Oreochromis niloticus: one gene and its partner. The protein of the gene in region 2 purifies or fractionates together with the protein of the main gene of each other region. This does not show direct contact. Links are inferred from orthologs where the notes say so. Each region holds a gene or a part of one and is shown on either strand. Other genes may lie near its edges.

What was found. Proteins that work in one complex are often made in the same cells at the same time.
Region 1: the proteins of lig3 (region 2) and pnkp purify together in Homo sapiens (co-immunoprecipitation; 5 studies listed by BioGRID and IntAct, with this or other methods). This does not show direct contact. The link is inferred for Oreochromis niloticus from reciprocal best matches to the Homo sapiens genes LIG3 and PNKP.

Annotation. Positions count from the first base shown.
Region 1 is NC_031979.2:9,018,864-9,022,618, forward strand, and holds the start of pnkp (bifunctional polynucleotide phosphatase/kinase), read left to right. Parts: upstream 1-1,113; 5' UTR 1,114-1,177; intron 1,178-1,183; exon of another isoform or gene 1,184-1,387; 5' UTR 1,388-1,420; coding exon 1,421-1,541; intron 1,542-2,840; coding exon 2,841-2,887; intron 2,888-3,088; coding exon of another isoform or gene 3,089-3,137; coding exon 3,138-3,416; intron 3,417-3,527; coding exon 3,528-3,755. UniProt on the Homo sapiens protein: Plays a key role in the repair of DNA damage, functioning as part of both the non-homologous end-joining (NHEJ) and base excision repair (BER) pathways.
Region 2 is NC_031975.2:27,120,179-27,123,933, reverse strand, and holds the start of lig3 (DNA ligase 3), read right to left. Parts: upstream 2,619-3,755; 5' UTR 2,470-2,618; intron 838-2,469; 5' UTR 810-837; coding exon 257-809; intron 1-256. UniProt on the Homo sapiens protein: Isoform 3 functions as a heterodimer with DNA-repair protein XRCC1 in the nucleus and can correct defective DNA strand-break repair and sister chromatid exchange following treatment with ionizing radiation and alkylating agents.

The sequences.
Region 1 (3,755 bases), on a different chromosome or scaffold from region 2:
AGCTCAATAGTTTTTGAAGGCAGGTGACACACAAAGAACTCTACCTGACAGAATAAAGAATCTGAAAGGGAGTGCCTATTTGAGGAGTTGAGGAGATAAGCTCATGAGTGGTAGGTTTACGATGAGGACAGCCCACAGACGGGCTACTGAACACAGCAAAAAATAAACAAAAGCATGGAAACTGACAGCAGTAGCTATGTCAACATTATCAATATGTCAAGGGTATAATCACTGATACACCCTAAATAAGTATGTAGCCCACGGAGAAACCTGCTCATCCTGTCATCATTAGTAAATAGTTGTGAATGATGAAAAGCACAACACAGAACTTTCTGGAGGTAAAATAAACAGCAGAATATAGTGTTTTTTAATCTCTGGGTTTTGCATTATATCAAAGTATAATATCTTTCAGCTTGACCATAGCATAGCGTGATTACACTTTATTCGTTCGTCGTTCCGCTTTAGACTTAAAGTTTGCATAATAAATAGTGATCAGTTGTTCGTCACACTAAATTAGTCTTTAGATGAGCTTTTAGCCCAAAGTGTAACCAGAACAATGTGTTACTTTGTCTTATTTCCGTATTAACTTTTTCTCCCGTCTCGCCCATTATAGGACCTGAAAACGAAAATAGTGACTCACCAATACTGATGTAATATTTAACTCCTTCAATGAGCAGCAAATGACAACGTCTTATTCCATCTAGGGAGAGTAATATGACTATGCATTGTTGTTATATTACACGTGTCAACAACGAGAGAGTGGCGACATGTTATGGAAATATTACGCCGTGGTCCAGTTAGCAGCACCTATGTTGTTGCGCTTTTCTTCCAGATAACACGGTACCAGTGCCGAATGACTCACAAACCCAGCAGAATAAAGTCTTCTTTATCCTGCAGTTTTTTGTTTTGTTTTTTTACCATGTGATTGCGCAGTCCAGAACACGTTTTGCTATATTAACAAATTATCATACACATGATTGTACATATATTGTACATTATCATTCTTACATTACACATTATATATATTAAAACTTAAGTGATTTCAATGCTGACTTCCCCCTCAAAAAAAGAAAATAAAAGAAACAAAATTATTTCAGCTCCAGCTAGCTTGACCGCGACTTTGCTCATATAACCTATACTTTGAGCGGAACTTCACGCGGGGACGACGTTGCTAAACGTAGGTATTTTTGTGTCGGACCGCGGGGACAACGCTGCAAAATCAGTTCCCTGCAGTTTCTAGTTCACACATTCTTCAAGTTTTTCTTTAGAAGACGAAAAGAAATTGAGGTAGTTGAAGTTGTAATGATGATAAACACTACTGCGTGAGGCCGTTTAATGTCCTGTACTTTGGCTTGACTAAAAAAAAGAGTTTCAAACACAAACACAGGGGCAGACAGCCTCTCTGTGGCCGCGTGTTCGAATGTCCTGCACGCTGGTTGGCGCCTCTGGAGCTCGGATCCCCCTCGAAGATGGACGGGCTGTGATTCTGGGCCGGGGTCCGGACACTGGTGTCACAGATAAGAAGTGCTCCAGACATCAGGGTGAGGCGTCCCGCTTATGTGCCACATTTACCGCGAGACCCTCTAGATTTAAATCTGCGAAGCTGTTAGTGCTCGTGCTCTGCTGAAGCTTAAACGTTATAACAAACCACCCTAAAGCTGTAAAGTACTTTACAGTGTACAGCGCAAGAAAATACTGCTAATGTGGCTGTAAGCTTTCATTCATTCATGTATTTATGTGAGAAAGTAAATCAGTGGTGCTGAGTTTTGTGTTTTGAGTGTCTTTCATTCACTCTACAAGTCACTAACAGGGATTTAAACTCATGATGACTGAACTTTGGTTACAATTTTACATACAGATATATGTACTTATTAAGTGAGGAGCTTAAAATTGCATCCACGGGGAGTCAAATAGAGCAAGAAAAAGAACCAGGCTGGTACTTTTTTTTTTTCCTTCCTGAAAATCAGTAGGTATGTATATAAATGTTTCAGTGGTTGGGGGCCAGATGTGCCCTACAATTCATGCCTGTGCTGGGGACCACAGTGGCCTCACACAGGTCCCAAGACAGCATGCTTACTGGGTGTTCTCAAAATTTTTTAAGGACAAACTGCAGGCCATGTTGAAATGTGCCAAATATTCAGGTAATAGCTCTTTGGGAATCACCATATTGGTGCAAACATACAGTTTTCTGCCTGGCAGACTGAGTTATCTTTGTTATTTCTCATAGGTTCCATTAAGGAAATGGCAACAAATGACTGTGTTCTTGCAACACAGTTTGGAATTGGTTCTTTAACTTTTATTTAAAGACACAACACTACTTCCTTCCTTGAATTAGATATAGTTTAATGCCAGTCAGTGTTAAGTGGCCTAACAAAAAAACAAAGAAAAAAAAAAAACTAAATAAAACAAAACAAAATTTTAAAAAAATCTCTCTGAAAACGGTCAGGTACAAGGAGTGGATTGAAAATGAGTGAAAAAGCAGCTAATGTCCAAAGAAAACTTTGAAGACCTTGAGAAATCCAGGAGAACTATTGCTCAAGACTTATTTAAAAAAAACAAGTCTGTTAAAGTATAACGACAACATGGGTGGCTCAAGACTTTTTTTGCACAGTACTGTATGTAATGGCACATGGTAATTTTCTAAATTAGGAAAGGCATTTCTTTCCTGCATTTAGTTTTGATATTGCAAAATAAACACTGCATTTAAATGGCAAATCTACATTAAAATGAGTTAAACAGTTGTTGTTTTGTCTTGTTTTAGTTTTTTTGGTCCCAGCTCTAGATGTGTATACATACGAAATGTGTGTGTGTGATTGTGTGTGTCTTTTTATTTATTACAGTGAAGGTGGTGGCTTGCTTTGCAGACCAGGATGTTGTTGTTACACAGGTATGAAGAACAAACACTGGGTGCCTCCACAGTAGAATAATGACCCTGCCTTTTAAACTAGAGCACACTCCCTTCAACATCACCGCGAGTTAATATTTAACTCCAAGCAATTACACCTGATCCACCCGCAACCATTGTGTCATTATGTTCAAAGCTGATGTCAGCACATTGTCCTCTTTGTCCACTCTTGTTACCTCACAGCTCATGTGCTAACTGTAACTGCTACAGTCCAATGTCCATTTCTCCACAGCTGGGTCCCAACCCCAGTTTCGTGGATGGTGAGAAGCTGGGCCGGGGTCAGTCTGGTAAACTCAGCCATGGAGGTACTCTCTACCTAGTTAACCAGAGCCACCCATTCGCACTGAACTACTCTCTGAGCTCCAACGGAATCACCTCCAGCACGGCACAGAGAGGGCTGAAAGCAGCAGATAAGACAAAAGGAGGGACAAGCTCGAAAGAAAAAGAGGCACAGTCCAGTCCCACACCCAAACGCAACATAAAGGATTTCTTCCCCAGCTCTCCCGTGAAGGTAAACCTCTGTGATGTATTGATTCATGCATCTAACTGTCTACAAGCATCTCTATATGTATAAAGAGGAGCCAGAATGAGAGAAATCGCTGTTTTGTTCCTTGTTATTTAGTCATCTAAAAGGCAACTGAGCCCAAAGAAAGAGCAACCTGAGGTGAAGCGCCAAAGACAAGAGGAGGAAGCTTCTGATAGGCAGATGAAAGAGGAGGAGCAGGATGAGGAGGAGAGACTGGCTGAGGAACGGCTCAAGCACCTTCAGGAATTTGCCAAAAAATCCCTGACAGAGGAGAGCAGCAGCAGCAGCATCCAGCCGTCATCGTCTTCAAAACCAAGTCTAAAG
Region 2 (3,755 bases):
GAATTTAAATTTCAAGAATAGATCAGGCCACATCAAAAGTGCACTGCAGCCGAGATTCACTGATTGTTGACTTTATGAACACAGGAGCTTGATCTGATTCCAATAATAAGTAAAATTTTCCTTTGGCCAAGGCTTAAATATTACCTGTGAGCAGTAGAAGGGTTTAAATATACAATAAATGTATGTTCACAGACAATTTTTCTGTATAATAAGCATTTTAAAAATACGAAATTTACATTTTGAGTGTCTTTTGTACCTGAAACGTGTTTATTTATAATCTCCTTGTCGTCGTCCTGTAATTCCTCCCAGCCCTCCAGGTCGGTGATGTCCTCGATCTTCTTCGTGGTGGCTCTGGCTCTTTCCAGCTTTTCGAATATACACTTCACATGGTACCACTCTTTCATCTCCCCTGCAGACTCACTGAAAGGGTTTGGCACAATTTTGCCTATGCGCACTATTCCCTTCTGGATTTTGTCCTTGCATTTCTTACATCCTGCTGTGCCACGTTTGGCGTATTCAACGAGAAACCTCTGATCTGCCATATCCGGCTGATTGGAGAAACTTCGATGCAGGAAAAACCAGGGAGGATAGTTTGGGAGAAGACTGTGCTTTTGGGATACTGAGGAAAACGCAGAGATTTTCCTTGTAAAATGTAACTCATGAAAAGACAAAGGTAGACGCTCAGCACATGAATAGACAGAAAAGGCCCTACACAACCTGAAGTATTTCTGACATCTAACAAGTTTTCCAGGGGGATTTAGGACTACGCGGATAGTCTTCTGAAGCAATAAAATGAGAGTTTTCTGCATTAAGTTGCAATGATGAACAGTTCAGAACCTAAAAAAAGCAAAAGGACATAATGGTTAATGACACAGCTTTCTTTTAAATACAAGGTACCTTAATATACTAAAAAAACTCATGCTAACAGCTCTAATAAAAGGTTTACTGACTCAGCAATATTTTATGCATTCATTGCAAGTGTAAATTTCCTGATTCCAGTTAAGCAGTAACATTGCTTCCCACTGCACATTTACAGGGCTTCTGCAGGGTTCATAACAGCAAATGCATTACTTTGGATCCCTTTTTAAGGCAATTTAATACATTTTATAGTTGTATAATCCAAAATATTAAAGATAAATGGAAAGCTAGTAGGACCAGTGTGACAAAACATTATTTGTAATATTTCAGTACTTACTTAAAATCATATGAAAATGTTTTTAACGACACAACTGAGTTATTTCATGCAATGTTGACCTAAATCAGTGCAACTCTGGAGCCACATGAGTCTCTTTGATCCCACTCTCGTGGCTCCAGGTGGCTGTGACAAAACAATTAGCAATCCCTGAAGAAATGGACTACGAACCCAACAAACAAACAAACAAACAAACAAACAGCCCCACAAAATTAAACTTAGACTGGTCGTTTTTTGTTTGTTTTACTACTTCTAAAGATATTGTGTTGCTATATGTTTTATTGTTAAAACAGGCTACTTTTGCATTTCAAAAAATTTTGTTGGTAATAAAATAGATAAAAACAAAATAATACTTACAAAAATGCTATACAAATAGCATTATCATAATGAAAATGCTAACAGTACCAGATAAGCATAAATAGGCTACAGCAGAGTAGCCGCATGTGTGAAAAGATTTTTGTTTCTCCACCTATTAGTAACGTTGATAGGCTGACTTATAGTAATGGGCTGTGTAGCTTTCCTTATAAGTCTCCAATATCTTCTGTTGCTCCATTCAGAGTTTTTAAGTTGAAAGAAAGAAAGAAAGGGGGGGGGAAAGCCCTACATTCCGACGATAAATTACACAGATTTCACTGCTCTTGCAAAAGTAAAGAAGGAAAAGGTCAGGATGCTCCATACATAAAAAAAAACATGACCTTACAATTCTCTAACACAAATCTACAGAAAACAAAAGAGCACAAGGATTACCCTGTTAGACAGAACAAAAAAAGTAAGACTATTACATGTCATATATGAGCTTTCGAATAATGGCAAACAGCTAAAATTTAAAGGATTAACAAACACAGATCGATCAAAGTGCTCTAGAGTGTCACTGGACAGTTTTTCCATCTTGTTTATTCTTTACTGTAGTGACTTTAATGCAACACAATGTTTTCAGTTCAAGGCTAATAAAGGATTTTGGAAAAGACACACAAAGTACACGTTGACTTATTTTAATATTTACGCATATTTGAAATAAAACAAACAAACACCATGCCTATTCAGTTACACAAGCGTGCATTTTTAAATGTTAAAGTTAAGCGCACCTCCAAAACATCCGACGTGTAAGTTTGATGACACGAAGGCAAGTGGATATGCTCACTAACGTTAGCATTAGCAATGCTCACTTTGTTCTACGCTCACAGGAAATTATCATGTCTACTTAATAGACTGCACACCAGTTATCACAAATACTTTAACGTGCTGCTAACAGTGCTACACGTGTTTATGTACTGTACCTTAGAGAAGCCGAGTAAACTGTAATAGGACGCTTTAAACTGCTAGCAATCCTCATTGTTGTTAGCCAACAGCCCAGCGACGTTAAGTCAGCGTCATTGCAATTTAAATATGCAAAACACTTCCGGTTTGGCTCCGCAAAAATAAAAGTAATGAAATTTGTAGTAGTTCGATTTAGAACAGTTCCGACTATTTACGACTTGTATGTAACTCCTTTGTATTAATTGCATGAAACTGTCCCCTTACAAAAATAGTAAAAGGTGCCCTAATTTGTATCCAAAAGGAAACTTGACGCTTTATTTTAAAAGACAAGCAGCCATTTCCGGAAACTTTCTGCTTAACCCCGATTAACTTGACACAACTAGCAATCCTAAAGGGGCTAGTGTGTAGGCTAAGAAGCATGGGCTGCAGCCTTTTTTTTCTTTCCAGAAACTTTATTTAAACAAATATAAACAGCAACGTAACAATAACAATGACAGTATATGACCAGATTTACAGTCGAAAAGAGGTAAATACAGTCCCAGGGAACAGTTGAAACGTAATAATGGGAGGAAAAATTATGTATTATGTAAAAATTACATAATAATATTTGGAAATTGTGATAGAGCTCGCACCAGAGTTTCTTCTGCATTCGATTTGCCTTTGTTAGTCAATAATTTTATACATATCGAGTACTGTTAGGGTCGTTGCCGCTGTTTAAGTTTTCAAATCTATGCGAAAATTAAAGAATGATATCAATTAAAAATATACCAACATTTTTAAAATTTATTTTATTTTACGTACATGAAACGTTCCCAGAATTATCAGAAACTTCCCCAGAAAACAAATGTTTTTATCCACTGTGTTTTCACAAAATAAAACAGCTGTATAATAAAGCATGGGCATTTTGCCTGTTTTTTTGTTGTTGTTTTTTTCAAATTACAAACTATTGCACATTAATCCAGCATATTTTGGAATACATATACAAACAAAATAAATGAGGAATAGTTTATTTATTTAAATCACAGAAATGATCAATATTCAGTTTAAATCTTCCCAGGCTTTAAATTATTATTGTTATTTTAAAGTTTTTTTATTATTATTATTTTAGTCACAATACAGTATTTGTCTGATATGTCTGGTACATGTTCTATATTTATAACATGGAATTCACTATAAGATAACAACCCATCTTTGAACTTGGATGACATCATTGTAGATGATCCATTTCTGGATTAAAATAATTTTGTGTTTTAGTTGAATAACTTTGTTGTTGCATATGTAGGATCTGTGTCATGAGAAGTTGTGT